2 linked regions of the Astyanax mexicanus genome follow. The protein of the gene in region 1 purifies or fractionates together with the protein of each later gene. This does not show direct contact. Links are inferred from orthologs where the notes say so. Each region holds a gene or a part of one and is shown on either strand. Other genes may lie near its edges.

Region 1 (16,528 bases):
TCTCAACTGTGTGCTTAAGACAAATATTTTATTAATTCCCTTATTTATTGTAAAATCTCACCAGCAGTAACTGTCAAATCTGTTGGCTTGATGTTCTCAGACACAGGGGACTGCGCAGCAAAAGCAACTGGTTCTGGTGAGACATCTTCGTGTCCATTTTGTGCTAAATGAAAACACAAAGCTTTTTAAAAAGAGCATAACATACATAAAGTGTCAAAAGACACACTTAACTAAATATTAAATATTATTCATTAAGTGGTCGATAACAACATACCGAGAAGTTGTTGCTTGCCTTCTTCACTCCAGTCCACAAACTCCTCCTCCTCACACTGCATGTATAATTCTGTCTCGGCCATTTTCCACACAGCCTATGGAGCCTTCAAAGAAATGTATGCAGGACAAACAGTTTTAGTTAAATTTCACATGTCGACTATTTTTTTTAAGAATAATTGTAAAGCCATTAACACATTTTAGCAGATTCATGTTCCCTTATTGTAATTTTGACTAATCATATGTTACTATCCATTTACAAGGAACATGGCTCTTAGCAATCATTATTTTTTTCTAGTACAATGTTTAATTAAACATTCATCAATTTTTACAAGTTGTATTGTAACTATAATGCGAGATATCTACACTGTAATTCTGAATTTGAAAATTCCAGGTACATTACACATACAAGCAAATTCTTACTAAAAAAAAGTAATATATATACTGTAGACATAAAAACGATTTCAAGGTCAGTTTTTTGTGCTGCAGTATAACATATAGGAAGTTAAGCTGTTTTCTTTTTTCTCTTATTAAATATAAAAATTATTATAAAATACAATCCCAAAACTATTATATTATTAAAATGTAATGTTATTGATTGCTTTGATTAAATTTAGTTACAAAACTGAGGGAAATAATTTATTAAAGTTTAAAAAACTATTTTTTGATCTTGATAATTTTGGCTGGCTAATTAAGTTGGTCAGTGTAACTTTTAGCAGTTCAATTGTCTAACTGCTTGAGGCTAAATTCAAAAATAGAAAATTAGCTGTAAAACTGAATCATTTCACTTTTTTCATTTAGTAAAGTAAAGTTTAATTTTAATTTCTGCCTTTCCCAAACAGAATTGTAGGAAAAATGTAAAAGACATTTTCTTACATTTTTACATCTTGCAACAAAAGTAAATTGTTGAACTGAAAAAAGTCTAAATCTAAAAAGTCTAAATTTATCATTTTTCCTGCAATTTTGATTGTGTACAATTTGGAAAAAAAAAATGTATGAAACCTTTTTTTTAAGTTTTACACCATTTCTTTTATTTTGGAATTTAGAAGACAATAACTAAGTAACATTTATTTGTCAGAAAAGTCAGGTTGTGACAACAATGTTGGAAAAACGTAGTTAACCGGTGCGTTTGCTTGGGAAATTCTACCCTACCTAATAAAACTAATTTAATTAATTAATTAATTAATTACATTGGAGGAAAGTTTTGATAAACTAATGAAACAATTTACTACATTGAGAAAACAATTTATTAAAGTGCGGAAATACGATTTTTCGAGCTTGATAACTTTAGCTAACTTAGCTTAGCAAAGTTTTCTATGAAAATGTAATCATAACATGTAAAAGTGTAAGTGTAAAGTGTGGTATTAGATGTGTGTGGCATGTCAACCAAACTATTCTGTAGCTTGTTTCCAGCAGAAGTGCTCAGTGTGCTGAGTGTGTGCTGGTTTGTGTGTATGTGAGGCTAAATGCTAACAGAGCTACGAGCTGCATGTGGACTCGCGCTTCCTCGCCCCTCCTACAGCTGTGATAAACAGCAGGCTAGCTGCTAGCCTAGCCTCTCAGGCTACATGATTTCAACACAACTTCCCAAAGCAACGAGCTGCGATTTCTCTTTGAGCTCGGGCGGGGCATGCACACCTTACCTTGTATGCTATTTTTCAGGCGTGCACGGACACGGTAAAGCACCGCGGTGGCGGAGACACTTCAGTACCTGCTGCTCTGTGCCATCGGGTAGAGGAGCAGTATCGGAGCCCGCTGCTGTTTCTCCGGCTGCGAGCTGCGCGCCGCGGTAGGCTAAGCGCCTCAAAACGTCACTTCCACTCCTCCCTCTCACACGCTGATTGGCTAAGAGCTTTAGGATTGGGCGGGCTTTTCGTTCGTTTCCTAACCTTTTCAAAACTGATTTAATTATCAAATCTAAAATATAATATTCACAACACCCAAACACGCAGAGTTTATTAATGATACTAAATAAAGGACATGCTAGTTTTGACTAACCAAGTCTTTGAGAATCTGTTTTAAGTGCTTTAATATCCCAACATTCAACAACACTGAGCACTAATGCTAAGCTAACTATGTTATTAACAATTACCCATGTTTTATTAATGATATAAAACATGAGATAAAAATAAAAAAAGAGTGTTAAACTGTATGTGAACTAAACTTTGATGCGTGTGTATTCATATGTACGCCATGAGCGTTTGGTTTTAATGTCGTACGTGTTGATATGGGTTATACGTCTTATTTATGCTGGAATGCTAAGCTAAGCTAACTAACTAGCTACTAAAGAGAAGCTTGGGCGGCTAATTGTAGCAAGCTAGCTAGCTTAGGTTAGCTAAGCTAACTAACTACTTAACCTACGCTATCTTTTCTAAAATCTTTTCTTAAATATCTGTCTGTACCCACTGAAACTTTGTGTAGAGCAAGTTAACTCAAGTTTGCTTTGAAAATAAAACGCCATTATCTGAACAAAAGACAACACAGACACTGTTTAAACCATTCTGCTAGTTAGTTAGCTAGGTTAACTAACGTTACCTTAGTAAGGTTAGGTAAGTGAGCTAACGCTAGCAGCTAGCCTGCAGCCTCTCTGCTCTACGTCGATTGCAACGGACAACACCTGTTTTCTTCTTTGAGGTCTGTTGTCCAACAGAATTGACATTTATCAGTTAATCAAACAGCAACTTACTCCTGCCTACTCCATTGAACAAAATTAAATAAATCATGGTATGAGTTATTTTTACGGTTTAAGGATGATTTGATAAAATAAAAACGTTATATAAAAGCTAAGTATACAATAAAAATAAACAAATGAATGTTTGTTAAACAAATGATTACACTGAAATTAACATAAAAATACAAATAATATTTGTTTTTGGAGTGCGTTACAGACAGAAAACAGCATTCTTCTTTTATTTTTCATCACTGGCACATAATTCAAGTCTGAAAAGGTTATAAGTTTATTTATTTTCTTGTTAATGGCTTAAAGCCAGTGAAAATCTCAAAATGAGTGTTTCAGAAAATAATAATATTATATAATGCCATATATGAGACATGTCATCTGGTGGTGTTGATCCACTGTATTATTGGTCCAAAGTCAGTGCAGTGTTTTCCCGGGAAATCTTACAGCACTCCATGCTTCCCTCTGCTGACAACTTTTATGGAGATTTTATGCACACTGCCCACACTGCCAAAAGTACCAATCTTATACAATATTCATTAATATTCATATCCTGGCATCTTCACAGTGTCTGCATTGCCCACAAAATAAGACACTACTATTCTAATATAAAATTAATAATTACTAAACATAACAAAAAGTATTTTAAATCACAAAGAATTAGTAATAATGAGCCTGTATTACTTTGCCTTATATATTCTGTAGTGCTGACCTGCCTTTATGTCTGAGTTGGTGGTTATTTCTCAAGTGCAGTAGGCGAGGCTAAACTACTGTTTTATTGGCTAGTTTAGATTTATTCAGATAACAAAAGGTCTCTATAAGTGTTCTGTGCAACAAAACATTTAAAAAAAGAAACTACATGATGTCCATTTAATTGACGCAGGGTCTGAAAGAGTTAAAATAGATCACTCTGTGTGATCTATTTATATAATATGAGTAAGTAACTTTTCAATGATATTCAATTGTTTTGAGATGCACTAGAATATGGAGTGCATTATTAGTATCATGACATCCTGGATTATTGACATGTTGAATTCCTTCTATAGTCGAAATCGAATTTCACATTTGCATGTGGCAATACCTGGGCAACCACCTAAGACATGATAGCACTTATCTATGATACAATTGTAACCACTTATCAACTGATTAGCAACAGTATAGCAAACATGTTTTTTTTTTGTTATTTGTACATAATGCATTATGCCAACGTCTCTTGCCAGCTGAGACCACTTTTCATCAGCACTTGCTTTGCTATGCTTCACTGTTTCTTTGTTTCACTAATTGCCACACCATAAGCTACACCATGAGCCACACCATCTAGCATGATCTTAGTGTAATCTTGTTATAAAACCTTAACCGGGCCACTGTGTGAGGGGCTTAGACTTACTTGCACTCTGTTCTAGACTGCAGCGCAGAAGTCACTTTAAATGAGCAGGCTAGAGGTAGGCAGTGAGCTCTGGTGGAGGACAGCACAGACAGTTCCTCTCAGCAGATGACATGAATCTTTATCTCTCTGCTGCTCAGCTATGGGAAGAACTGAAATCGAATCATTTGGCCAAATACGGGGCAGTTACTGCAGCTACAGCAATTAGTGAGTTCTACTGGTTTCTTTTTCAGTCTATGGTTCAGCTTTAGTTTAATTATGCCTCAAAATGTGTTGAAGTTTTGCAGTGAGAAGGTTACATAACTCAGGGATGGAAAATAATCACATGCTTGATTTATTGATAACTATAACTATTAGTACTATATGTATGCTGTAAACATATTCAGATTATGTTTTGACTAGATGGGTTATATTTTTGTACTCAATGATAATTTGCATTTTAAGATGAAATGCTACTGTTAATAGTGAGTGTTTAGTCCTTGCATTGTCCTCTGCACACATTTCTATTTGTACCAAATGTAAAAGTGAATTCTGACTCTATATATGATCACCAGTCTGGCCTGGTTCGGTGTAAAATTCATTCTGAAACATTTCTTTAAGGATGTAACAAATTCCTCCCAGAACCAGAAATGTGTGATACACTTGTAAACCTAACCAAGTCACAGTCACACACTAAACCCACCATTTTGAGAAGATTATTGGAGGTAATCTGGTTAGGCTAGTAGCACAGAGGTCTACGGCTCCACATGGCACCATGTGTCCGACTGCAGGAAATGAAAGGATTTCTGTGTACGTGAATTATGAACTATAACAGAATTTGCAAGTTGTATTGTATACAAATACATGTTTTTATTTAATGCATTTGTTTTCATTGTATTAGAGATACAGATTAAATTTAGAAATTACATTTACAGCAGTCTCACCTCTTTCTACAAATCTTTAGATAATGAGGAAACACATTACATTTTATCGTAAGAGTAGAACTGGGGGATCATTGCATCATGTGCTGTCTGTCAAATCCACTCATGGCTGCCTGTGAGCTCTGCCAAGCTGTATTCACACAGGGAAACAAGGAAACACAGCTGACCAACATAGACGGTTGTTTTTTTTAAATATAATATTCAATTGTAATGACATAGCTACCCGGAATTCTCAATAATGTCATTATTTTGTATTGAAAAAGTGGCACATCATTAACACCAGGCATCACATTTAGGCATCACAAAAGGCTAAACCAAATAAAGACAAGTTTGTGTCAAATTCTAATGGTTCTGTGCACCAAATGAAATGCAGGTTTGGTTCTGCTGAGAAAGTGGATTGCTGGTGGAGTATGCCACAGCCATGTGCGATTAGATGGGAGGACAGTGGTCATCACTGGTGCCAACACTGGCATTGGAAAAGAGACAGCCCGGGACCTGGCTAAAAGAGGTAAAAACACACATACATTTTTTCCAGTCAGCTGGGAACTGTAACAGAGATTAAACAGAATTAGTAATGTAACTGATGGCATGTTTTGTTTTCAGGAGCTCGAGTTGTGATGGCATGCCGAGACCTCACCAGAGCGGAGAAGGCTGCAGCAGAGATACGTCGTTCCACAGGAAATGGCAACGTGGTGGTCCGACATTTAGATTTGGCTTCCTTCTTCTCAGTCCGTCAGTTTGCACATGAATATATTTCCACAGAAGACCGACTGGACATACTCATCAACAACGCTGGTGAGACCATTGGTGTCAAGCAAGAATTTTTATTTTTTTCCTTTTTTTTAATTTTACATCATGTGCATCAGGCAGTTCTTCTTTTACATTGGGTCAACAATTCATTTAGAAAGCCATTAAAGAGATCATCAAAAATTACTTACATAACTTTGCATTGACTTCAATAGAAAGTAAGATTGTTTTGATTACCTGTTGTGTTTTTTTGTAAATGCAAAAAATATATACTATATCTATTTGTTACTGACTTGTTATTGACAAGTACATGGCTATGGCTATGAAAATAATCTCCAGCTACTCTACACAGTGTTAACATATCTATCTATCTATCTATCTAACTTGATATATATATATATATAAATATATAGTAATCATAATGTGAAAACAATTCTATGTGAACACACAAGTTCTTAAATAAATATACTGTATGCTAGTAAACTATGAACTACATTGAATTGAATGACCACACATTGACCCTTATTCTACTACATTAGGAGTGATGATGTGCCCCCACAGTCTCACAGAGGATGGGTATGAAACTCAGTTTGCTGTCAATCATCTGGGCCATTTCCTTCTGACTGTTTTGCTCCTGGACATGCTGAAGAACTCGACCCCTAGCCGTATCATCAATGTGTCCAGCATTGCTCATAAAGGGGGTGAGGCTGACCTTTCAAACTGAGAATCCAGTTTATTTGTTTGTTCGATTTTTAATTAAATGCCAACAGAAGATTAGATATCTATATTTCAAGTGATTGTATTTGTTTTAATGTCACCCTTATAAATATTGTTAATGTCATACATGAACAAGACATTTTTTTATGTCAAACACTTCCTCCTATCTTTTTTTCTACAGGAAAGATCCATTTTGATGACCTTAACTTCAACAAAACACCATATAATTCCTTGATCAGTTACAGGCAGAGCAAACTAGCCAACGTTCTGTTCACCAGAGAGCTCTCACGGCGGATCAAAGGTTTATATTCTTCTCCCTACAAACTGTACAGAAAAAAAATCAATTTGCCTTTAACATGTTCACCACTCTTTTTTGGTCTTTTTGGTAGTTTATAATTTATTTGCTCATATGTACCTGTTGATTTTCTGGGCAGGGTCTGGAGTAACAGCCTTTTCCGTGCACCCTGGAGTGATCCGCACTGAGCTGGGCCGATATGTGGAGATGCGCCATCCTGTGGTCAGTACCCTGCTGTCCCTTCCTGCCATCCTCCTCATGAAGACCCCGAAGCAGGGAGCTCAGACTACCATTTACTGCACCATCACTGAGGGACTGGAAAAATACAATGGCTGTTACTTTAGGTAAGTTCATAAAAATCCAAAAGTGAGTATATATTTATACAGTTTCAGAAAAAATTAAGATACCACTTAAAAATGCTAAGCTTTTTTTGATGGCTTGTGACCATCCATCTTCCTCTTGACAGAGGTTTAAATAGGGTTGGTGGATGGTCACAAGCCATTAAAAAAAGCAGGACTGCTTGAATTTTAGCACAAAGAGAGGCAAGTAATGATAAAATGTATAAGTTCAGTCCTAGTTTATAAGATACAGAAAAAAAATTAAAAAGCATTTTTATGATAATGATCTTTGCATCTTTGGTAATGGCAGTGACTGCCGGATGATGGAGCCAGCGCTGGAGGCTAAAGATGACCTTGCTGCCATGAGGCTGTGGGATGTGAGCGCTAAGCTGGTGGGCTACAAAGAAGAGAACTAATCCCAGGCAACATCCCAAACCAGTGATGTGATCTTCCACCACCAGTACATGCCTACAGCAGAATGATCAGAGCTCCTGCTGAAAATCAGTCTGCTCTGTGCCTGCTTTATTAATACATCTTTACATGCTTTTGTCACAACAGATTTCATACATTTTATAAAACACTGGAAATGGAAAATAAGTAATGAAGAAAATGGTCATTTGTAACATATCATATAGAACACTTGTGTACCTAAACTTTAGAATCATTTTAAATTAATTTGTTTAGATCTGAAATTACTGTCACTTTTTCATGATAAAATTGCATTTTTTCACTTCACTACCTGATGAACATTATCTTTTTTTGTCACCGTTAAAACTGATTTCAGCCTATCCTTATATCTTTACGTGTGACCGAGTAGTTTGGCTAAAATTTGTATAAATTACTTTAGCTCTGGTTAGCTGTTGTCATTACTGTGTAATTAATAGTGATATTACTATGGCAAAGATGAATAAAAAATAAACATGATTTTTATGTTTTTATTTTCCTGTTAAGTTGCCATTTTGGATGTATAAGACTTGTACGCAAAAATAGTGCTGAGACACTTGCTCCAGCTCTCAGCATATCTGACAGGTGGGGTAGTGTGGACACAGTGAACACTCAGTAAATCATGGCTTTATTTTATTGTGAGTGAAAAACTTGGGTGCAGGTTCCCACTAGTATGCAGATGCAAATATTGACAACAGAGTAGAATAATAAAATACAATTGAATAAAAATATACAGTTAACTTTACTGTATTACACACAATAACAATACACACAATAACTTACACCTAAGACATATAGACATATTGCATTGCATGGATATACATTAAATATAACTGAATATATATATATATATATATAAATAATGCTATATAGATATGCAGATATCTAGAGTATGTGTGTGGAAGTGAGGAAATAGTCTAATGGGTGAGAGAGTAATTATATTATATTACATTAAATGCCTGTTCACTCTCTACTCCACTTAATACTTTCAGATCAGTAACAGGAACCAACCCAAATTCTGCAGGTTTGAAAATAGATGTAAAAACTAGACACACATAACAAAGCTAAAGGTGTGCAGGACATGAAATGTTTGATTTGTATTCAAGAAAATATTGATTTTAAAATTAATTTCAGGAGAGACCAATTTAGTGATTGTTATTCATTTTATTTTAAAGTTGCATATTTAACTGTTACATATTTTACATTACAATTACAATTTTTAGTAACGTTTATTATCAAACATAAGACCATTTAAGTAATGTTTAAAATTAAATCTTCAAGATTAAGGGGTGTAATATCGGGCAGAAAATTAACAAAAATCCTGGCCTGTTAATAATACTGGTTTAGAATGGAAGACCTTACCAAGATGGCGGCGTGCTCACTCTGTGCGGGGTTGCCGCGGTGCACTGTGGGGCGGCTATATCTGTGTGTGGGGGCTGATTTGGGGTCAGTGGTGGAGCTGCATAGTTCGCTGTCTCTGCGCTGTGAGGGGAAAACTAGCAGATCCCAGATCAGCCGTACCGCCGTTCACATACACCGGAACTGCTCCGGGATCTTCAGCGGAGGTTTTGTTAGGTGTCAACAGTAGAGCTAATTTAATACTGAAGAGAAGTGAGCGCAGTTTAATATTCAGCTGTTATTCTACAGTATAATCAGTAATTATATAGTTAAATAAACAGGCGGAGTGAAGGACACTGCTGTCAGGATGAACGTGACTTTAGCTGTGAAGCAGTATGTCTCCAAAATGATAGAAAGCAGCGGACCAGGAATGAAGGTTTTACTAATGGATAAAGAGACGGTGAGTACAGACTCATACCCGAGCTTCAGTCCTACAGAAACACAGAGTAACGAAGGGGGAATGTAATGTATTATTCCTCTCACTGTCAGCTGTGCTTACAGATAGATAGATAGACAGATGCAGAGACAGGGGTTCATGCTAACTAGCTAACCAAGTAACGTATCTTCTCATATACTGTACACCCATAATACTGGATATAAGTAGATAGTGCTGAACTTCAGAGAGTCTTAACAGTATATTGCCTTGCAAATATCTATCAGGTTGTCATGTCCCTTTCCTGATATAAGATGTATAAGTGTAGATTGGTAAACGGTGTCTTGTCATGTAAGACCTGACTCTCTTCTCCTTGGCTGGTATTCCTGTGTTTGTGCCATCAGGGCCTTGCAGCTGATCCAGAACACAACAGCATAACCTGTATTGAGTCGTCATGTTTTTATCACTGTCTATCCTTTGATATGTTACTTTTAACTCCTGCAAAAACACTGATGCTGGTATACCAAGCCTAAAATGGGCTGAGCCATTCCTGCTTAATAGCAGCCCACAGGACAATTGTTTTGTTCAATTGTTGATTTTTGGTGTCTCAGGAGATTTATTTGAGATTCTTACTTAGGTTTTATTTCTAAATCAACTCAGACACAGATGTTTCTTCAAAAATTGCTTAGAGGAAATAATATTAGACAAAAATGAGACATAAGAAGTCAAACTGGGAACTAACTGGTTTTAGATCTGGGAAGATTTATTGTCAACCCACCAAACATGAGTATCGAACCCATCTTCAATGTCTCGGGGCTCTGAGCAAAATAATTCAGAAGTTAAGAGTATAGGCTTTGTAACCCTGATCAAACATATTTAATTAATTCAACACAAATATCTGTCCAATCAGTTTTGCCTTTTATTTCTTGAACAGAAATAATTTTGCATATTATAAAAAAAAATCATATTGCAGAAACAACACCTGAGGTGTGGGTGCAATTGTACATACTATAGCAAATATTGTAGAAGGTAAAATCTAGTACACAGCATCAAAACTGAGAAGGCTCTTTGTCTTTGGATTAAAAAAAAAGTTGCATTTGTATTAAGACTCCTATCTTGTAAATGATTGTAGTAACCCTACCAAATGTGGTAGGGTTACCACTGCCGTTGAGATCTATACTAAAGCTTAAGTGAGATTACTGGGCTCTTTTTCTCAGAAGACATGCTTGACCAGCCGGGGTCTCATGCTAAAATCTTTTCATCAAACCTTATTGTTGTGTAGGAGAAACTACAGAGATATTAAGGAGATCTCCCTTTTGATTTGTTTTTCCTCTGGGAATGATCAAAACCTGACCTGTTACCGGACTCCCTTGAGTGGGGCTCTACGTAACCTGCCATTATTTAAGACACATGGAAGACAAACATCAAGATGTGTTCGCTGTCATGGCAATATTTTTACTGAAGAATCCGTTTGAAGTGCCTTTAAATAAAATAAAAATCTTACACTTACTGAAGTGTTTTGTATTTTGACTCTAAACTCTTTGTCCAATATGGTATTAAAGCATGTTATATATTTTACAAATGTAAATGTGTGTGTTTATGTCTATAGACCAGTATCGTGAGTATGGTTTACACACAGTCTGAGATCCTTCAGAAAGAGGTATACCTGTTCGAGCGGATCGACTCCCAAAACCGAGAGAACATGAAACATCTGAAGGCCATCTGCTTTCTGCGACCGACCAAGGTATGCTTGACACCACCATACCCTGTATATTGTCAGAACCGTGCATATCTGTTTTGTTTTGCAATGCTAAGGTACAGTTACTGTATAAAAACATAAAAAGCAATTGTGCCAAGTGCCAAGGTTAGACAAGCTATCCAGTGAGGACCTGTAAATTGAAAAAAATATATATATATAAAATACAGAATTAAAAGCATTCTTTGAGTAAGTAAAAATATCAGAAACAAGAAATAAAACTATTTGTCTACGAAGTGTTCCAGCAGTTGTTGAGCTTATAAGATGTCTAAACTGTCTAAAGCACATGCCACAATTCCTGTTTTTTTTTGTTTATTTGCTATGCTAGCTATTTACAAACACTAATAAAATTATTTAGTTTATTTGCAAAGGCCTGGAAATAAACTATGTGAGCATTATAATAATAGATTATATGTTATCAGTTTGCTGCTTCGTTTATGGAGATAAATTCTTTTCTGTTTAGGAAAATGTAGAGAATCTGATTCAAGAGTTGCACCGGCCCAAGTACAGCGTCTACTTCATCTGTGAGTAATGAGAAACTCCACTTTTCACAGGCTAACACAAGTACAAAGCCCTTATTTTACAGTGTTGTTTATTTTTACATTGATGCCTGTATTTCTCTTCCCCCAGATTTCAGTAATGTCATTAGTAAGAGCGAAGTGAAAGCTCTGGCTGAGGCTGATGAGCAGGAGGTTGTTGCAGAGGTGCAGGTCAGTAAACTATTTAAACACTGCAGAACAATGTCCTACTGATTTTTTTTTCTTTGTATATACAGTAAGTAGATAAGTAATGATATCTAGAATGCAGTTTTTACATTAATACAGTTTCTGTTTTCTGCTTGCAGGAGTTCTATGGAGACTTTATCGCTGTGAACCCTCATCTCTTCTCCCTTAACCTACAAGGGGTAGTCAGGGTAGGAGACAAGGCACCACACTGATAAAAAAACATATTTTAGCTTTGGATCATTTAAGTCATGAACTTCCACAGTTTGTGGGGAAAATCATGGGTTTTTTGTAGAAGTTAAATACACTTGATCTTTAAATGGACACTCTGTGTAGCACAACTTGACCCATGTAGTGTGTATGTGTGTTTTCTTTTAGGGTCGCAGCTGGGAACCCACTATTCTTCCACGTGTCACTCAGGGCTTAACCTCAGTACTGTTGGCCTTGAAGAAGTGCCCCATGATCCGCTACCAGCTCTCCTCTGACATGGCTAAGAGACTAGCTGAAAGTGTCAAAGTAAGAAATATAAATAATGTTTTTCATATGTATATATAGACTGCTTGTAACATTTAAGTATTTTTAGAGTGATGCAACATGAACTGAAAATGCAAAAGAAACTCAAAGGCTTCTAAAGGCTAAGCATAGAAGGTTTTTAAATGACTTAGAGAGAAGCCTAATGGAAAACCTCTAGAATATAATCAAGAGGAAGATGGATGATCACAAGCCATCAAACCAAGCTGAACTGCTTGATTTTTTGTACCAGTAGTGTCATAAAGTTATCCAAAGGCAGTGTGTAAGACTGGTAATTAAAAACCAAAGTTATTCCACTCTTAAAACTTTATGAATATGCACTTGTTTTCTTTATTTGAGGTCTGAAAGCACTGCATCTTTTTTTTATTTTAGCCATTTCTCATTTTCTGCTCTAAATGACAATATTTTAATTTGAATTTGACAGAAACGTTGTTCATAGTTTACAGAATAAAACAACAATGTTCATTTTACTCAAACATAAACCTATAAATAGTAAAATCAGAGAAACTGAATCAGAAACTGAAGTGGTCTCTTATTTTTTTCCAGAGCTGTATATAACAAAAAATAGTATAGAAACGTTTTACTGTTTACTCTTGCTGACTTCATAATGTGATTATGGCAATAATCCATTTTTAAATGCTTTGGTATGTGGATGCCTTTTTCTAAATATTCCTGTAAACTGCTTATAAAATGTTGCATTTATTATTTTACTATAGCAAATCATCACCAAGGAATATGAGCTGTTTGACTTTAGAAAAACAGAAGTGCCTCCCCTACTCCTGATTCTGGACAGAAGTGATGATGCCATCACACCCCTTCTCAACCAGGTGAGTCCCTGCCTCTTTTTGTTGAACGTAAACTTCTAAAACATCTAATATATTAAACATCCTTCTCCTGCATTGTGCCCCAGCTGTCTGTGATCACATGAGGGCAGTAGAGGCACTAGCTTATGCAACGGTGTTCCTGCTCTATACTGTATATATAGATACTTAATGCAGTTATTAATAGACAGGCCTTCTAAGAGAAACGTAAGCATTACTTGGTCTCAATTTCATGTTTATGTGACCTACACTGGGGTGTTCTCTCCTCTAAAGTTGTGTTTTATGATCTGGCAATTTTTATGTTATGTAAAAATTCACTGAATGTCATTAGAATTGGAACAAATTGGAATGTGTGTGCTTTCCCCCCTCTAGTGGACATATCAGGCTATGGTTCATGAGCTGCTGGGTCTCAACAACAACAGAATAGACCTATCCCGAGTTCCTGGCATCAGCAAAGACCTGAGGGAAGTGGTGCTGTCTGCAGAGAACGATGAGTTCTATGCCAATGTGGGTAACACTAGACTGTAAGAGTGATGCTCAGAGCTCTGTTTATTAGAATGACCTCAGTGGCACCTTTAAGAAATATTTTTGAGCTAGATTTACTGTGCCAGTATAACTGACCAATAGATATGTTCACTTTACATTCCATTTAAAGTCACCATTTTGGAGATACATGTTTCTCACTGGACAGCAACAATATTATCTTCATTACAACAGTATTTTGACATATAACTTAAAAAGCTTAAAAACGTTAAATATATAAAAAAAAAAAACCTGGATAAATGTAAATATGCGAATGTAAATAAAAATGCATTTTAGTAAGAAAAAAGTTTAATCCACCACATCAGCTACAGATGATTAGAACATGGTTATGGAGGATTTTTGGGAAGAGGATTTTGGCCAGATCTAAAGAGCTCTTTGAGACGTTTAGAAAGAAGGCTGTAGATGGTATATAATCTGAAAAATTTCAGAACAGTTAGAAAATCCGGCCTTGCTGTCCCAGCAAGCTTAGGCCAGTAGCAGACCGCAATATGTGTAAATAAGATCCTAAATTCATCACAGAACCTACAGCATTGCATACATATTTTCTTATGTATGATTTCATTAAAGTGTTTGAAAACTTGCGAACTACTTTTCTTTAAAACAGAACTTATATCTGAACTTTGGTGAGATTGGGACAAACATTAAGAACTTAATGGAGGACTTTCAGAAGAAGAAGCCGAAGGGTCAACAGAAACTAGAGTCTATTTCTGATATGAAGGTAAGAATGAAGATATTTTGTTTTATAAATAAATCTAAAAACTACAGTGTTTTTTATAATGTATTTAAGGGAGTAACTTCATTTAGTTTAAGGAAGTTCAATTTCTGTAGAAATAAAAAAACAATATGAATGGTTTGTAAACCTTATAGTGGTTCTGCATCCCAAATTTTGACATGTGCAACGTGTTTCGTGATAATCATGATTGTAAATGTCATCCGTGAGTGGTCATAATATTTTGGCCAATCAGTGTACAGTTGTAAAAAATTGGACACCACATGAAATCCTTTTATTTCGTTTTTTTTAATATATTTTAACATAACTGTTCAGTTAAAACATGTATCTCAGTCGTTGAACCCCCATAAATTTGGATGAACTGACCAATAGATATGTTCACTTTACATTCCATTTAAAGTCACCATTTTGGAGATACATGTTTCTCACTGGACAGCAACAATATTATCTTCATTACAACAGTATTTTGACATAAAACTAAAAAAGCTTAAAAACGTTAAATATATTAAAAAAAAAACCTGGATAAATGTAAATATGCGAATGTAAATAAAAATGCATTTTAGTTAGAAAAAAGTTTAAGCCACCACATCAGCTACAGATGATTAGAACATGGTTATGGAGGATTTTTGGGAAGAGGATTTTGGCCAGATCTAAAGAGCTCTTTGAGACGTTTAGAAAGAAGGCTGTAGATGGTATAGAATCTGAAAAAATTCAGAACAGTTAGAAAATCCGGCCTTGCTGTCCCAGCAAGCTTAGGCCAGTAGCAGACCGCAATATGTGTAAATAAGATCCTAAATTCATCACAGAACCTACAGTTAGATATTACCTCAGTTTATGTTAAAGTACACTATCTACTATCAGACAGAGAACAAACAAGTTTAATTTTCATGGGAGATGTCTGGTTAAAAAAGTTCAAACATTGATATACCGTATTTTTCGGGCTATAAGGCGCACTTAAAAATACTTATTTTTTCCCAAAAATCGTCATTGCGCCTTATAATGCAGTGCGCCTTGTGTATGGATTTTGCTTGTGTTTACTGACCTCGATTTTATGTGGTACACGGCGCTCTGTTGTGCAGAATTCCTCACCCACGCCAGAAAAAGATCCCCCTCTTGGGCTAGCGCGCGGTTACCTTTGACTGCCGTACTGCCTCTCGGCTGTGGCTCAGGGTAGCTAGTTTCCACTGTAGCTCCGTGGCCAGAACAAGGTGCAGGTAAACTTTCCTTTCCACCCGTTCTGGGGTAATAGCACAAACTGTTTCTTTTTAGCGCCCACTTCTAAGTAAAGTTAACCTCTTAACACGCGCTGGCCCACCGGCGGGCCAGAAATATTTAATATTTCATAACTGGCTGTGTTTCTGAATAGTTATGAACAGTTACAGGTTCAATATAGACATCCAATATACCATTTAAAGCTTAGAATCTCTGCTTTTGAGCTATTTAGCCTATTTAGCGGAATATCCTTTCAGAAAATAAACATTTAGGGCGAAATATGCCTTGGTTATGATTTTAATAATTCATAACTCTCATATTTGCGTTTATCGTTCGTCCATATTTCATCGAATGCGGTCATGTCATAAACCATTCGAACCGTCTGGCTCTCCGGATTCCAGAACTGTGCTTTTACTGTAGGATGTATGTTTCATGAATTAAAGCTGCGTCAGAGCGCATGTTTCCAGTAATAAAAGGCTCTCCTTTTGTCCTGGGGTAACCTCCGGTCACTGCCGCCACCCCCCGAACACACACCCGCGCTCAGCCACAGGTCCTACCTTCAAAACGCGTCCAGACTAAAGAGAATCCATCAATCCAGTCTCCTGTAATCCACAGTTATATCCAAACAGCGCTGGAAATCACTTCATCCA
Region 2 (15,748 bases), on another chromosome or scaffold:
GGCTGGACTTACGGGGCTTTAGCGCTAAATACATTTCCAGTAGCCCCGAATGGTTTCGCTCAGCTCAGCTGTATTATTAGTGAGGAGACAGGTCGCTGTCCGCTGTGAATGAAAAATCTCTTGACACAAATCACAGAGCCAGTTCAAGGATAAAGTTCCGCCTTTCAGGAGAAACAGCCAATCAGCTTGCTGGTTTTGTAGGGAAGCCCCGCCCCAGCCCCCCCACGATCACTGGGGAACGATTTTTGAGAGTTCTTGAACCGGGTTTCAGCGCTGATGTCAAAACATATCTGGATATTTTCTAAAAGAAAGGTAACTGAACTAACCATGTAAACTGTGATGAGATTGTTTCTGATAGCTGGTTAAAAAGACTCGTCTCTGAATCAAAACACACAGATCAAGGTTTGAGGAAGAAAAAAAACTACACGTTATATTTTTAACTTGCCCTGATGTAAGTTACCTGATCAGCCAATAACTATTTTATTTTCAGGAGAATACTGTATTTTTATTAATTTAGGATTGCAGGATAACTGTAAGCTATAATTAACGAAAATGTATTTAGTTAACCAGTTAGCTAGAAGCTGGATGTTGTGGATAGCCAGAATTTAGTACTATACTTAGTTTAAATGAGTTTCCTAACCCTGGTCTCTGCTCTAAAAGTGTATGCTTTCCGCCGGATCAGCTGATAAACTAATATAATTAACTGGGCTGAGCCCCGGATTTTTACATACCCAGGCAACGACCCTGATAATACACATCAAAAAAACAGAAGCACAGCACTAATCAGGCGCCCATCCACTCCTTCCTAATCTACCCTCCTGTCACTTCCTGCCAAACACAGGCGCTTGAAAACGCGCCCCATAAAGAACACGCCTAGGCATTATTATTTTTTTTTTTGTCATGGCGCACCTGGATTTACAATATAATGGATCATAACAAGTAAGTAAGTAGATGGTGAATCATAAAACTAATAAGTTATAGAACAGGGGTTGCCAACGCTGTTTTTTTATTACATAACTGATATTCTTCATCTAGAAATATTTTTTTAATAGTTAGTAATAGTTATTTATGTAAGGAAAAGTGTGTTTAAAGTGCATATTTAAAAAAGCTAAGTACATAGAAAGCTACTTACACGTAATGCTGTAGCTTAAGCAGCGTATGTACCTTAACATGACGCAAGCCACCATACTAATAATGAGGCAGGCAAAAGGAAAGGAATGCTTATTAATATGAAATGGTATGATCCACTTAAGGGGTGCTTGAAATCATATCACAATATTCTTCCAGGCATAGATACGGCACTGTTTTTGTAGTTATTACCATTATATGTAAGACGTATACTTAAATGTTTTTACCCCTTTAGTCTTAATTGGGGGGGGGGGGGCTGACCCCTTGTAATTTGCACCCTGGTGGGGGTGCTTAATTCGGCACAACTCCGGCAAGCCCACTCAGCAGCGAGCACAATTCAACCGAACCGTGCCTAATGTGAGTAAAGGCTTAGTAACCATTTCTTTCAAATGCTAAAGTAAAAATTATTACACTTTTTGGTGTATATTAGACATTTTGAACTAACATTTAGTTTTTTGCCAACTGTTAGTTTTTTTTAATTGTGAAAGGGATACTTGAATAGAATTGAATTTGCAAAGTTGTTGAAGTTAAATAAGTAACATTTTTCCCTGAAGTTTAGTCACAGAGCCCAACCACAATGTATCAGAATGTTCACAACCCTATTGGAAACAAGAAAGCAAAATACTATTTCAACTAAACAGTTGACTTTCTGAGTTTCTAGCAGCTGTATATATAGAGAAGAGGCTACACTGACACTCAGGGAAATGGGCCAGTGCTAAACTTATAAACTAAATTTATGGTGCTGCTTACACACCAAAAGCAGGAAGACTTACTGGAGTGACTCGGCCATGCGGATGTACTCTGGAGCTTTCTCATCCACCTTGTCCATGCAGATCCTCAGTCTCTGCGAACAGGAAGACACAGGAGGACAAACTCAACATAAAGAAACAGCATAGCAATGGGAGGAAACGAATGGGAATTTTGCCAGTGTCAGTAAGAACAAAGAAAAATAAAAAACAATTAGTTTGAGGAAATCTAATCAACAAAGTGTTAAATCTTTTTCTAAATAATATCCAAAAAAACAACACCACATGAAAACTTTATAAAAAAAATGCGCAGAACAGAGCCAATTAAACAGACTGAACTGGATAGGTAATTGGGACTAGAATTGGGGCAAACATTGTTTAGTGTGACCCTGGATTAAAGCTCTTTGTGAGGATAAATGCAGAGAAGAGAAGCAGTCTGGTCGATATTTAAAGTAGATTTTGTCGTGCGCTAATCCAGGCGTAGCAATGTTAGAGTTGCTTTTCTCCCCTTACATGTCAGTGGAGCAGTACCATAAATAATGTGTTCTTTTAAGGTAAATGCGACACATGGCTGAAGAACAGCATAGACAGCTACAACACCTGTGCACACCATATCTGACCTCAGCTCTTATTCAGGCTGTACCTCGTAAAGTTTGACAATGTCAGGCACATGATCTTTCTCCTCCAGCTTGTGTTGGTGACGGAGCAAAGCTTCCATGCAGTGGCGGCAGCAGCGGATGCGGTCTTCATCTTTCTCCTCCAGCACGGAGCTGACTGAAGATAGGCTGCTGATAGAACCACGACGTGGAAGCTGCTGCTGTGGTGCTGCAGGACCTCCAGCACTTGGGGACCCCCCCTTCCCTGGACTGCCTGGCACAAACAGTGCCTCTCGGGTGCTGCTGGTTAGTTTACCTGACAACAATCATACAGTGTACTTTACATTATATATAAATATTTACGCACACAATCCTTATCTGTAATATTTGTATAAAAGCACTTACAAATTCAAATAAATACTTTATTACCTTTTTGTAATCTGGAAAGCTATTATCAACTGAATAGTATAGAGAGGTTTTAGAAAAACATATATGCTCAAATCCAGACAATTTCTTTGACAGGAAGGCATTGGATATTTCATCAAGAAAACGCTAAAGCACATACTGCAACCAACAGTATGGCTTCGCAGAAGAGAAGTCAAAACTCCAGCAATGGGTGCTCCTCATTTCACATGAGTTTATAGATTGTTATTAAGGAAGAGGAAACACTAAACCAGTGGTAGACATGGCCCTCTCACAACAGTATTAAAATAATATTTAAAATATTTTTTTAACATTTGGCTGAAACATCTGCAACTCTTGTCTATGAAAGTGTGCACAATGCAACTTACAGGCCAGCGGCAGCGGCACAAATTCCATACACTTCCTGCACATGATGGATCCACAGAGCCGGCAGTGATGGCGTCGGTTCCTGATGTTGAACTTGCCACCACAGTCGGGGCAGAACGGTACATCGTGATCACTCACCCACGGCACCACTGACTTCTCCAAAGCTGAAATTAAAATAACAATAATAAACCATGTTTTGGTCACAACACTGTAATGACCACAGTAACAATATCTTTTCATCTCTCTGCCCCACCTCTTATCTTCCCAGCGTCCATGTTGGTTCTGTCGAAGGAAGTAAGCTAGAAAAAACAAAGACATGATTTGGTTATTATTTACGTTGCTCGAGTTATAGAATTCAGTTCATATCAATTCATATCTAAGGCTATGATGATCTGTTTCTGTGTTAACCCTTAACCCTAATGCATGTGTGCATTAATTTATACAGCTACATACTGATGTTTGGATTGGTTTGTTGCTCAAAAAGTTGTCTTCCTTTTATGTTTCTTTATTCAACGGGTTTGTGGCTAGTAAGTTTACAGCTGAAATGGTTTTAAAGATGCTGAATGAAAAGGGAGTTACAGGAATGGACTCAATTATACAAAATATAAAATGTTATTAGAATGTTAAAAATGTTTAAAAAAAGGAATTCCAAACATGAACACACTATAAATAGTTATTATTCTTGACCAAAATGACAAAAAGTGACATAAAAATATTGATTCTCACACTTATGAAAAGGTGTAATAACCAGTCACATGACCAAACACACTAAAGTTAAATTGTTAACCAAACCACTGACACAACTGTGCCATAATTAAATATACATAGTATTTTTTACAAAATATTTACCTTCTCCAACCTAATGATTCGCTTGTTGACCTCGATGACATAATGATCAATCCTGGCAGCTCTGTGTTTCTTAAAAAGATCCAGGTGACTCCGAGTGGCTCCTAATCAAACAGAATGAACTAACTTAGACTTGACTAGCCAACGTATAAAAAAAATGTAAGGTGCGTTTTATTAGGAAAAGGAAAAGACAATACTGAAATAATAAATGTCAACTGATGACTATGCAATAGTTTCAGCTACAAATAAGTTTGTGACATTGTGAATTCATTCATTCAGACTTTTTTTTTTATTTTTTCCTTTTCTGATATTATCAGTCCAACGTTTCTATCGGTATCAGAGAAATACAAAGTTCTCCAATTACAATGTGCCAGGTATATTGTGCTCTGTCATTAGCAGTAATTCCCTCAGTCTCACCCAGTTCCTGAGGCTCCCACATGTAGGGGTCCACTCCTCCACAGTAGAAAGACTCATAGCTGGTCTCAGTTCTCTCGTCTCCATCCCGTTTCAGAAGCTTGTCTTTGGCCTTCTTTGCCTTCTGCACTAAACCTGAGTGACAACATAGAAAATATATCAAAGTGATTCCTATAATAGAATAGTGCACCAGTTGTGCTGGTACTGTAATGACTGGTAGTGGAAGTAGTGGCAGTCAGAAGTATAAATGTACCGAAAACAAGCTTCAGACTTGTTTATTTTATCAAACGAGAACTCAGACCGCAGCCTCTGGCTTTACCACATTACAAAAAAAAAAAAAAATCACAACAAAAGTAAGAGTACCTCAGGGGACAACTTGGGAAGACCCACATTGGTTTAAATTGTAAGGTGTTTATCTTGTGAGTAAAGCCAGCTTGGTAACATGAATTATGGAATTTCGAGTGAGGTCGGCAGTACTGGTACTGGTAAGAATGAGAATATTTTTAAATAGGAGTGCCACCGGGGGCAGTGTGTTTGCACAGAACACAGCGTAATACCAACGTTTTTCCCGACAGTCCTCAGTTTCTACATAAAGTACACGCATAAAGCCAAATATGGAATTATTTAGCATACGAATCTGACAGTCAGATAAGCCATGAACATCAATACCCGTCTCTTAAGTATGTTTTATACCTGCAGACCAGACGAGAAAGACGAGAAACAGCTCCAAATAGCAAAGCATCTTCTACACAGAACTGCAGACTTGTTTTAATAATTCTGAGAATTCCTTTATTGAATATTATAGAAAACAATTACATCATGCTTATATCCTCTAAAATAACTCAGAGGAGTGGGAGTGTTTTTGTGTCTTTTTCAGTAGGCTAATAACTATGTTTTTTTTTGTTTTTTATTTTTTTTAAATAACCACTAATAGGGCTCTCTATACAATTGGACTGGCCCAAACTTCCTGTACCTTAACTTTAAGAAAAACTAAAAATAATAATAAAAATCAGGCACTCTCAGCTGTACTAGTAAATTTAATCATGGCTCATATATAATACGAATTTCTATTGCTAGGAATTGCGATTACCATAGATGTATAATGCCATAATATCATTAAAAGATTAATCAGTGAGTTCTACTTGCAAATACAAAGTTAACTATCAAAGATATTTCAAAGACCTATTATGTTCTTACTAAAGAGAAAAGGAAAAATAAATAAATAAAGATGTTAACAATGATGTTTATTCTTAATGTATTCATCTTTATGTTTTTTTTCCTTTTTTAATTATAAATTTAAAAAACAAAAAATAGCTTAATTTCTGACATTTTTGGATTTTGCTTTGAAATACGTAGAGATATTTAGAGGAGTATCTTATCAAATATCATAATTTTGGTATTGTAACACTAAAATCTGTTGGCCAAGTCAAGCATTGATTGAACCACTTAACCAAGGTAATGTATTAAAAAGCACTTACTCTTTATTTGTCCTCCAACATGGTGGCTGTCTCCAGAGTGCTCCTCCTCATAGTGGTCCTGCAGCTGATAGAAAGACTGCAGGTCCTTCAGACAAAGAGGGCAAAGGAAGCCCTCCTTTACCTCAGCTGAGCCTTCAAACGGAGGAGGGTAACTAGAGGCCATGGGTCAAGGGTTGAACAAATGTGCTGGGTGTACTATGGCACAATGGGTGATATCCAAAAGCTCATAGCATATCTGACTGAAGGCAGCACACACTCCAGACCTTCTCCATCACTCTGAAAAGAGAAATACAGTAAATATGTTAGTAATTAGGTATCATTAATAATTAGTTACAGCACACACAAAGGAGTCTATATTCATCTCTACTGTTGTTTAAGACCAGACCCTGCTAATCTCTTCTTTTGTCTTCTCTATCAATCAGTGTTAAACCTTACAGCTTCAGCATTCAGGATCAGTATTTACTCATAAAACATCTGAATATCATGTTTCTTTTTCTCCTGTTTACTTATTTATTTATAGAAACACAGAAAATGCAGAGATAGTCAAATAAGCAAGAGGTGCTTCTTTAAAAAAAATAAAAATCTAAAACATATTCTGGTTTGTTTAACACTTTTTTGTTTACTAAATAATTTCAGATGTTTAGATGACTTTGGTATTAATATACAATACAGAACATTTAAAAAACACAGAATTTAAGGTGTTTTCGAATTACTGGTACTCTAAGTCTTATTTAGAACGACAGACGGTGTGTACTAATATAGTTAGCTACGTTAGTTAGCTAACGATTAATACCCGATGAGATTTATAACGCGTTAACAAAAGCTTAAACGGTTAGCTTAGCTTGCTAACGTTAGCCAACTAACCTAGCTAGCTGCGTGCAGGTTAACTGGGCGTGTATGAACGCTGTATTATAATGATAATAAATGAGCTCGGACTGTTCCGACAGTCCTGAGAGATTGTAGGATAGTACATTATAGCGGTTAAACGTTTTAGAGACAGTAAAAAACCTTCAGTAACGGCACTGTGTCGGAGCTGATACTGTTATAACCCCCGTTACAGCATAACACAGCAGCAGAGCCGCGGCGGAAGGAGCCTCCGCACAATTTAAACACGCAATTACACCGGCGTACAGTCACTCAGAGCCGCGGCGGGGTCTTACCGCAGTCCGCTGCGGCTCCGGGGAATGGGAGAATGTGTGTTGGGGCGTGTAAGAGTGTGTGAAGTTGCAGGAGGTGAAACTCAGCTCGACAGCAGCAGCAGCGCAGCCTCATCACACGGTGGGTCATGTGACCCACGTTCAGTTGATACGGCAGCTCGGAAGGGACACTGCGATCAGGCAGAATTGCCAACAAAATGTGTTCTATGTTAATCTGCACTTCTTATAGGATAATGACTGCTAACTAAATACATGAATTGAAACAACATATTTAAGGCAATTTACTTGAAAAACATTAACAAAAACTTCAAAATCAATGTAATAATTAAACAGTGCATATACAGTAGCGTGAAGAAGTATTTTCCCCATCTAAAGATTTTGATACGGCAGCTCGGAAGGGACACTGCGATCAGGCAGAATTGCCAACAAAATGTGTTCTATGTTAATCTGCACTTCTTATAGGATAATGACTGCTAACTAAATACATGAATTGAAACAACATATTTAAGGCAATTTACTTGAAAAACATTAACAAAAACTTCAAAATCAATGTAATAATTAAACAGTGCATACAGTAGCGTGAAGAAGTATTTTCCCCATCTAAAGATTTCTTTTGTTTTTGCTTTTTTGTCATACTGAGATTTTTCCAATTATCAAACAAACGTTAATATCAGATTAAGATAAGAGTAAATATAAAAAATGATGAATGAATTGAATGATAATTGTATTTACTATAGGGAAAAAAATTCCAATCCAATCTAGCCCTGTGTGAAAAAGTATTTGCCCTCTTGACCTAATAACTTGATTGGTGGCAGCAACTGCAATCAAGCTTTACAAATAACTGGCAAGGAGTCTTTCACATCTCTGTGGAGGAAATTTTGTCCACTCTTCTTTTCAGAATTCAGACACACTGGAAGGTTTTCGAGCAAAAATTTTCTGTTTAAGGTCATACCACAGCATATCAACCAGACTTTGACTAGGCAACTCCAAACCCTTTAAGTCACGTAAAATAATCACAGCAGTCCAATTTCAAAACACCACAGAGAGTAGTCTGCCCCGAACATTGGCATAGGAACCGGGGGGATATTAGAGACAGGTGGATTTGTTTAACTTTGGAATTAGATAGATAGGTATTCAAGGTTTAAGGAAAAAATAAACTATGTAATGTTCAGCTTGCCCTGATGTACCTTATCAGCTAATCACTATTTCATTTTCAATTTGTGTTCATTCATTTAGGATTACAGGACTTACTGTATACTATAATGGGAAAAAAAGCTAGTTAGCTAGCTGGATGTTGTGGATGGCCAGAATTTAGTCCAGTACTTTATGTCTGTAGTTTAAAGCAGTTTCTTAATCCTGGTCTCTGCCCTAAAATTGTGTGTTTTCCATTATAGAAGTGCATAAAAATTTAAAGCACAGGATCCAATGCTAATATGTTTCTTTTTAAAGATTGAAGAAAATGTAACTATACAACAGAATTGACCTGCCAATGCATAATAATAATAATAATAATAATAATAATAATAATAATAATAATAATAATAATAATAACCAAATCTGTTGTTATTATTTTAACTATCGGGTGATAACTGGCATATTTTTATAGAATTATCTGAATTATCTTTATATATTATCTGGTGCTCACGACTTAGTATGTTGTGCTCACGACTTAGTAAGTGGTGCTCACGACTTAGTATGCGGTGCTCACGACTTAGTATGTGGTGCTCACGACTTAGTAAGTCGTGCTCGCGACTTAGTATGTGGTGCTCACGACTTAGTATGTGGTGCTCCAACTTAGTATGTGGTGCCCACGACTTAGTAAGTGGTGCTCACCACTTTCTATGTAAAAAGAAAAATACACCACGTCCCTTTAGGGGCTCCGTATAATTCAGACATTGCACGCATATTTTTTTTTCTAACAATAGTAAATGTAATGTGGAGTAACTTGTTTAGGTTGTAAAGTCACCTTTACTTGGATGTAACTAATAATAAACAGAAAAAAGGGATTACTTGTAATTAAAAGTAATTCCACAAATGTTGTTTTAGGACCCTATAGGGTGGCTCATACGCCCTTGGCCCCGACCACCCCTAGCCAGACACAAATTTAGGACGCTGAATCTATACAAAGTAGGAGAGACGGAGAACTTAGAATACAAGCGAGCGGAGAGAGGAGAAATACGGCAATTCTAAACTCTTCTTAAACCTGTATCTAGCGTTATATTGACTGTATGTTACATGAGAGGGACCTAAAGTTACATCATGCTGTATTTGACCGCCAGAGAGAGATCTACCCAGATAGCAAGTACTTTGGCCCAACATTGGCAAATGTCGCCTATGTCACACGTAGAAATTCGACGTCAGAGCAACGTTGGTCTGTGGTTGGCAGTATTTTTAGAACGTTGGATAAAGGTCGTTAAGCAGCGGAGGTCGGCGTCAAAATGCCAACGTTTTTCCAATGTCAGTCTCACTTTGGTCTTTAGTTTATTCCCAAACTGTCAAGTCTCACACACGAATATTGGATCATGGCTCCTCCATGGCTCGTGTTCACGGAAACAAACAAAAACCCACAGACAGACACACAGGGCACAGAACACACACACACCGCAGCTTGCCGTGTTCCAGTCATGCTCCAAAACAGGTGTGTGCATCCAAAACAACGTTGGCACTTTGACTCCCATCTTGTTTGTGTGTGTGTGTGTGTTGTGTACACGGAGCACTTCAGCTGTCACAGGTGAAGTCTAAGCCTTTAAACCAGGGGTGTCAAACTCATTTTAGCCAAGGGCCACATTGGCATATTGGCTGTCCTCTGAGGGCCAGATGTAACTTAGAAATGTAATAAAATGTAACCAAATGTAATATAAAATGAATGTAATTACTCCTTAATGTTAAATAACTCTCAATATATTATTTATTCAATCAAATATTACAGTTGCATGGAAAAAATGTTTGCTTGTTGCTCTATTAACATAAATCCTTTTAATTTGTCATGTTATGAAATCCAAAAACTCCATCAATCAAGAACCAAACTATTCAAGTGAATATAATGACATCAAGTTATATTAACTTTGATCAAAACGTTTGATATTGAAATAAGCCTTAATAAATATAAAATAAAAAATTGTGAGCTGTTAAGAACATGTGACAGATTTTTGAACATGTGACAACTTTTCTTTTTCTGGACATTATGGGATAAACATTTGTATGTCTCAATTACACCCGCGAAGTTACGCCTTCCCTCTGGCAGGGTTTCCACATCAATGACTACACTGCCGTGTAGTGGCAGTAAGCCGTAACTTCGCGGGTAACACAATCGACAAGCATTGTAGGAAATGTAGTTTTTGGTCAAAGCACGCTTCTGACCTATTTATTATAGACACTAACATTTTACAAGCTCTCGCGGGCCACATAAAAGGACGGGCCTTGTGTTTGACACATGTGCTTTAAACCATGCACAGGCTGTACATGAAACAAATGCTGAGATTCTGAAGCGCGTGGTCATTTACACGCAGGGAAAAACGACCGTTAATTCAGGCTTGTGTGTGTTCATATTTAAATTAGTTGAAGCTGAATTCACCTAAACGCAGTTGGATAAACTCAAATGTAGCGGGGTAAGGTTAAATTAAGATAATATATAATAATTTATAATATAATGCTGTTATTCAAAATATATTTTAAAGTATACAGTATATACAGTTGTGGCCGAAAATGTTGGAATATATATATATAGAGCCAAGCCAAGCAATAGTTACATCAAGTTAAATATGTAACATTCCTTCTACATAATCTCTTTCTGTTTATTTATTTATTTTTAAATCAAATTAACAGAAATACATTTTGTAGAAGGAAGGCAAAATATTTCAGCTTGATGTAATTATTACTTGGCTTTTAAACTACTTTGCACTAACTAGCAATAAATATGTATAATTTTAAAATGTAAATAATTCATTTAGAATAGTCTTCTTTTTCTCTTTCAGTGACTGACTCCATGTCCACTGGTTTTTTTTATATTAGTGTTAGTTATGTATCACATACATGTTTTTTCCACTTCAAAATACATTCAGTAAATTATTTTAGCAATCATTTATTGTTGTTTTTTTCACATTCTTGATGGTTATTTAATACGTAACATTCTTTTTACATTCAGTTATACATATTTGTGGGCTAATAGATTTTACTATATAAAGGTTTACAAAGCCCTTGTCTTGCTAATGTTAACTGGTCAGAAGCCAACATTAGGCCAACCTAGGCCAAACATCAAACATTGGTTGACGCCCAACATAATTACTGTTTACAAACACTGTCACTTTAAACCGCACTGAGACGTCAAATATTGGTTGACACCCAACGTCAAACCAACGTAAACAATGACGTTGAGCCAACTTACACTTGCTATCTGGGTAGTTTCACCCCTGTGCTCCACACAGACTCTGCACTGTACCAGAGAGAGATCTAGCTTCACCTCTGTGCTCCATGCGGTCTCCGCGCTGTACCGGACAGCCTGAGAGAGATCTAGCTTCACCCCCATGCTCCGTACGGTCTCTGCGCCGTACCGGACCACCTGAGAGAGATTTAGCTTCACCCCGCGTTATCACCCCCCCTGCTCCGTGCAGACTCTGCACTGTTTCGAACTGCCTGAGAGAGATCCGTGCGGACTCCGCGACATACCGGACCGCCTGAGAGAGATCTAGCTTCACCACTCATGCTCTGTGTGGACTCCGCACCGTACTGGACAGCCTGAGCCAGATCTAGCTTCACCCCCCGTGCTCCCTGCAGACTGTGTGCCGTGCTGGACCTGAGAGAGATCTACCTTCACCACCTGTGCTCCACGCTAACTTCATGCCATGTCAGACACTGTGCTGCAAATGGACTCCGCTCTGTAGCGGACTGCCCAAGAGAGATCTTGCTTTACCCCCGGGCTCCAGGCAGACTGCGCTCCGTAACGGACCGCCTGAAGATTCTATTTTCAACACCCTTGCTCTGCACGGACTCCATGCCGTACCGGTCCGCCTGAGAGAGATCCGTTTGGACTCCGCACTGTATCGGACTGCCTGAGAGACATGCGTCTGGACTCCTCACTGGACCGCCCGAGAGAGATCTAATTTCACCCCCCGTGCTTTGCATGACCACCTGAGACAGACCTAAGCACCGCCCAGGCTCTTCACCTTTGAGACAGCTACACCTTGCTAAGCTATCTAGGTCTCTCAGATACCCTCTGCCCTGTTATCCCAGCTGCACACAGACCATTAAAATGAATGTGAACACTCAATTTTTTTATTTATTTGGAACACCAGTTCCAAGTAAGCTAACCTGGTGGTTGCGATAAATTACCTGACTGATTTAGCTAGCCAGTTATCTTACCTGTTCAGGAGAAAAGTATCTAGCTCTGGGTTAGTCTTGTAGTCTTTCTGAGCTCTAAGTCTCCACCTTTCAAAGTTACTGTCTGCTCTGCTACTCTGCACTCTAGTCTGCTGCTCTGCTGGTGTGCTGCTGTTAGCTTGCTCTACTCTTGGCCCTGCTCCCTCCAGGTGGGTAGATGGCACTCTCTCCCCACATCACTCCTAGGGTGATGTCCACAGCACAGGGCGTCTGTGAGCTGATGTACTGGAACCGAGGCGCTGTGCTTTCATTTGAGCGCACTGGCTGCTCGGCAATGCTGCATCAGCAGCAGCTTGAAAAGAAGCGGTGGCTGACTTTACATGTATCGAAGGAAGCATGTGTTAGTCTTCACCCTTCTAGTGTGTTGGGGCATCACTAGTAATAGGGGGAGTCCTAATGTGTGGGTTGGGTAATTGGCCATGTAAATTGTGGAGAAAATGGGGAAAAATATATTACAATAACAATTACAAAATTACAATAAAATTATATAAAAAAAGGTACTCTGGTTATAGGAGACTCTATAGTCCGACACGTGAATTTAGCTACTGCTTTAGACCAGAGGCAACAGTTACTTGTTTACTGGGACCCAGAGCACCGGACATTAGTGGCAACCTTAGGCTGTTAGAGAATAGGAGATATTCGAGGGTAGTAATTCATGTAGGGGCCAATGGTATTCGCCTGCGGCAGTCTGAAGTACCTAAGGGTAATATTAAAGAGGTGATTAAACAGGCCCAGACGGTGTCCGAGGAGGTAATCTGCTCTGGCCCCATCCCAATGAGGCGTGGTGATGAAGCTTGCAGCAGGCTTTCTTCGCTGAACCACTGGATGTCCAAGTGGTGTGCAGAAAATCATGTGGGCTTTATAGATGGCTATACTTTGAAGACAAGCCTGGTCTTTTAGGTAGGGATGGTGTCCACCCCACGCAGGAGGGTGCTGCCTGACTTTCATGCAGCATAGCTCATAGTCTTTCAGCTAGTCGGCAAAGTAGTGTTAGTGCTGACAATCCAGAGCCAGGACCAGGCCACAGACAGAGAGGCTTAACCGACCGTCTGCGAGCTGCAAAGAGAAGTTACCAAGATACCAATGAATTCAGAATGTGTCTGTCCCCCGAGTCAAACAAAAATGTCAAAAAACTGAAACAGTCAATCCAAATAACTTAACTTATATTAAACAATCACATCCAGACTGTAGCACTAACACTTCAAACCTAAAGATTGGTTTACTTAATATTAGATCTCTAAATTCAAAAGCAGTTCTAGTGAATGAAATGATAACTGATCAGAAATTCGATGTTCTGTGTCTGACAGAAACCTGGATTAGGCCAAATGAATATGTAGCATTAAATGAAGCCACCCCTGCAGACTATAATTATTTACACAATCCGACCCTAGTGAAAAAAAAGTATATTAAAGTATACTAAACATCATTATGCTATAGTGCACTAAAGTGTACTTGTAGCTGCACGATTAGTCAGTATGCTTAAAGTGTGCTAAAATGGAACAACTATTTTTGTACTTATTATACTTTTATTGTATAAAAATTGTACAAAAGTTCTACTTAATTTGTTCTAAGTGTACTTAACTGTACTAAAATGGATCTCAAATATACTTAATTAACATTTAAATATACTACTTCATGTATGTAACCCCTTATTTTAAATATGCTTACAGTAAAATCATTATACATTTAATGAGTATTACAATAGTATCACTATTATATACCAAGTATATTAGCAATGCACTAAAAATTGATGTTAAATATATTTACATTAGCCTTCAAATATGCTTCTTGTTCCTGTCTTTTGTGAGTAGCACACTTCTAGTATACTTTGCTGAGTATAAAAATATATTTTAATATACTGTACTACAATTTTTATTTGACATTTAAAATGTATTTTAATTTAACTAAAGAAAGACTAGACAATGCAGACTATTGAGTTTTAAATGTAAATGTATTTTAAGTTAACTTTTTAATTATACATTAAATACGCAAATACATATGCAGAAGTGTTTTGAATCTATTAGCTTATAATGTCATTACAAATGTATCCATTTCAATCAGTATATTTTGTTACAGAAAATATATTTTAAGCTTACTTCATTGTTATATCATGAATACAAATACATAATATTTAAGTTTTCACTCACTGCTCATACTTATTGTAAAAAGAAACAAGAATAAACGTATGCTGATTAATGCAAACATTTAATTGTACATCTTTGCTTGACTATGCAGCACTCCATTACAAGTGACCACAGTCTTAGGAGAAATTAGCAAGTTATTACAGCAACAGCTCACATCAACACAAGTGAAACATACAAACAAACCGTATTTTCTAAACCTTTTGTTTTTTTATCTTAACGTTTTCAGCAAACAGAGATCTAACTAACTCTCTGTAGGGGCATGTACTTAAAGGACAAATGATAAAAATAAAACTAAGAAATATCTTCCCTTTGTAACTTGTTGCAACAGTTCCAATGCAATCTAAATGAAGTGGCAAATGTTTTACATTGTCCAATTTATATTGTCACTTGATCTTAATCACCATTAATATTGCACTATTATCTTCTGTCTCACAAATGTCTATTGTGTTTTTGTTGTATTGTACATATAGTGTCTCCCACTCATTTAGATTATATTTTTATTTCTTTTTATTTCTATTTATATATCTATTTCACCCCCACCACTACTGCACCTTGTTTTTGTCTCATGTATGTCTATTTGTGTCCCTGCTGCTGTATTGTACACATAGTGTCTCCCCTTTTTCTTTATTATCCATTATCTGTACTTGCTGTAAAATTGGGAAGGAGAGTAACGTAATTTCAATTCTATGTATGTCCTGTACATATGCAGCATTGACAATAAAACTACTTGACTTGACTTGACTTGACATAAACAGCATCAGTCAATCAGTTTTTTTCACTGTGAACTGCTCATTGTTGCATTTTCTTCTTATTGCAGTCCGCACATCTGAGGCTGATGTATTGGGAAATTCTTCCATTACTGCATCTGTTACAGAAAACAAATTAATTATACTTCAGCTTACACATACCTAAGAAAATTGTATCATGTGTATTGTCTTACAACAGGAAAAAACCTCTGCTGGTATTGTACTGCTTTTGGTACTTGGTATTTTGGTAAAATAAAATCTAGAATTCAATCAATATTAAGAGTTAAGAAAAAATATATGAGCAGAAACATATCAGCATTATTAACAA

The links.
Region 2: the proteins of vps45 (region 1) and rabenosyn-5 purify together in Homo sapiens (affinity purification with mass spectrometry; 4 studies listed by BioGRID and IntAct, counting the BioPlex papers as one, with this or other methods). This does not show direct contact. The link is inferred for Astyanax mexicanus from reciprocal best matches to the Homo sapiens genes VPS45 and RBSN.

What each region holds. Positions count from the first base shown.
Region 1 is NC_064410.1:49,925,399-49,941,926, reverse strand, and holds the start of vps45 (vacuolar protein sorting-associated protein 45), read left to right. Parts: upstream 1-9,246; 5' UTR 9,247-9,497; coding exon 9,498-9,590; intron 9,591-11,172; coding exon 11,173-11,307; intron 11,308-11,782; coding exon 11,783-11,843; intron 11,844-11,949; coding exon 11,950-12,029; intron 12,030-12,163; coding exon 12,164-12,232; intron 12,233-12,419; coding exon 12,420-12,557; intron 12,558-13,288; coding exon 13,289-13,399; intron 13,400-13,765; coding exon 13,766-13,900; intron 13,901-14,540; coding exon 14,541-14,654; intron 14,655-16,528. Other genes in the region: pogza (pogo transposable element with ZNF domain), read right to left, coding at 62-163, 275-356; zgc:153441 (retinol-DH_like_SDR_c domain-containing protein), read left to right, coding at 4,445-4,538, 5,625-5,759, 5,855-6,046, 6,538-6,699, 6,897-7,016, 7,150-7,354, 7,659-7,764. UniProt on the Homo sapiens protein: May play a role in vesicle-mediated protein trafficking from the Golgi stack through the trans-Golgi network.
Region 2 is NC_064419.1:14,640,605-14,656,352, forward strand, and holds the start of rabenosyn-5, read right to left. Parts: upstream 7,308-15,748; 5' UTR 7,158-7,307; intron 6,274-7,157; 5' UTR 6,161-6,273; coding exon 5,998-6,160; intron 4,655-5,997; coding exon 4,523-4,654; intron 4,210-4,522; coding exon 4,109-4,209; intron 3,559-4,108; coding exon 3,513-3,558; intron 3,424-3,512; coding exon 3,262-3,423; intron 2,787-3,261; coding exon 2,518-2,786; intron 1,973-2,517; coding exon 1,902-1,972; intron 1-1,901. UniProt on the Homo sapiens protein: Rab4/Rab5 effector protein acting in early endocytic membrane fusion and membrane trafficking of recycling endosomes. Required for endosome fusion either homotypically or with clathrin coated vesicles.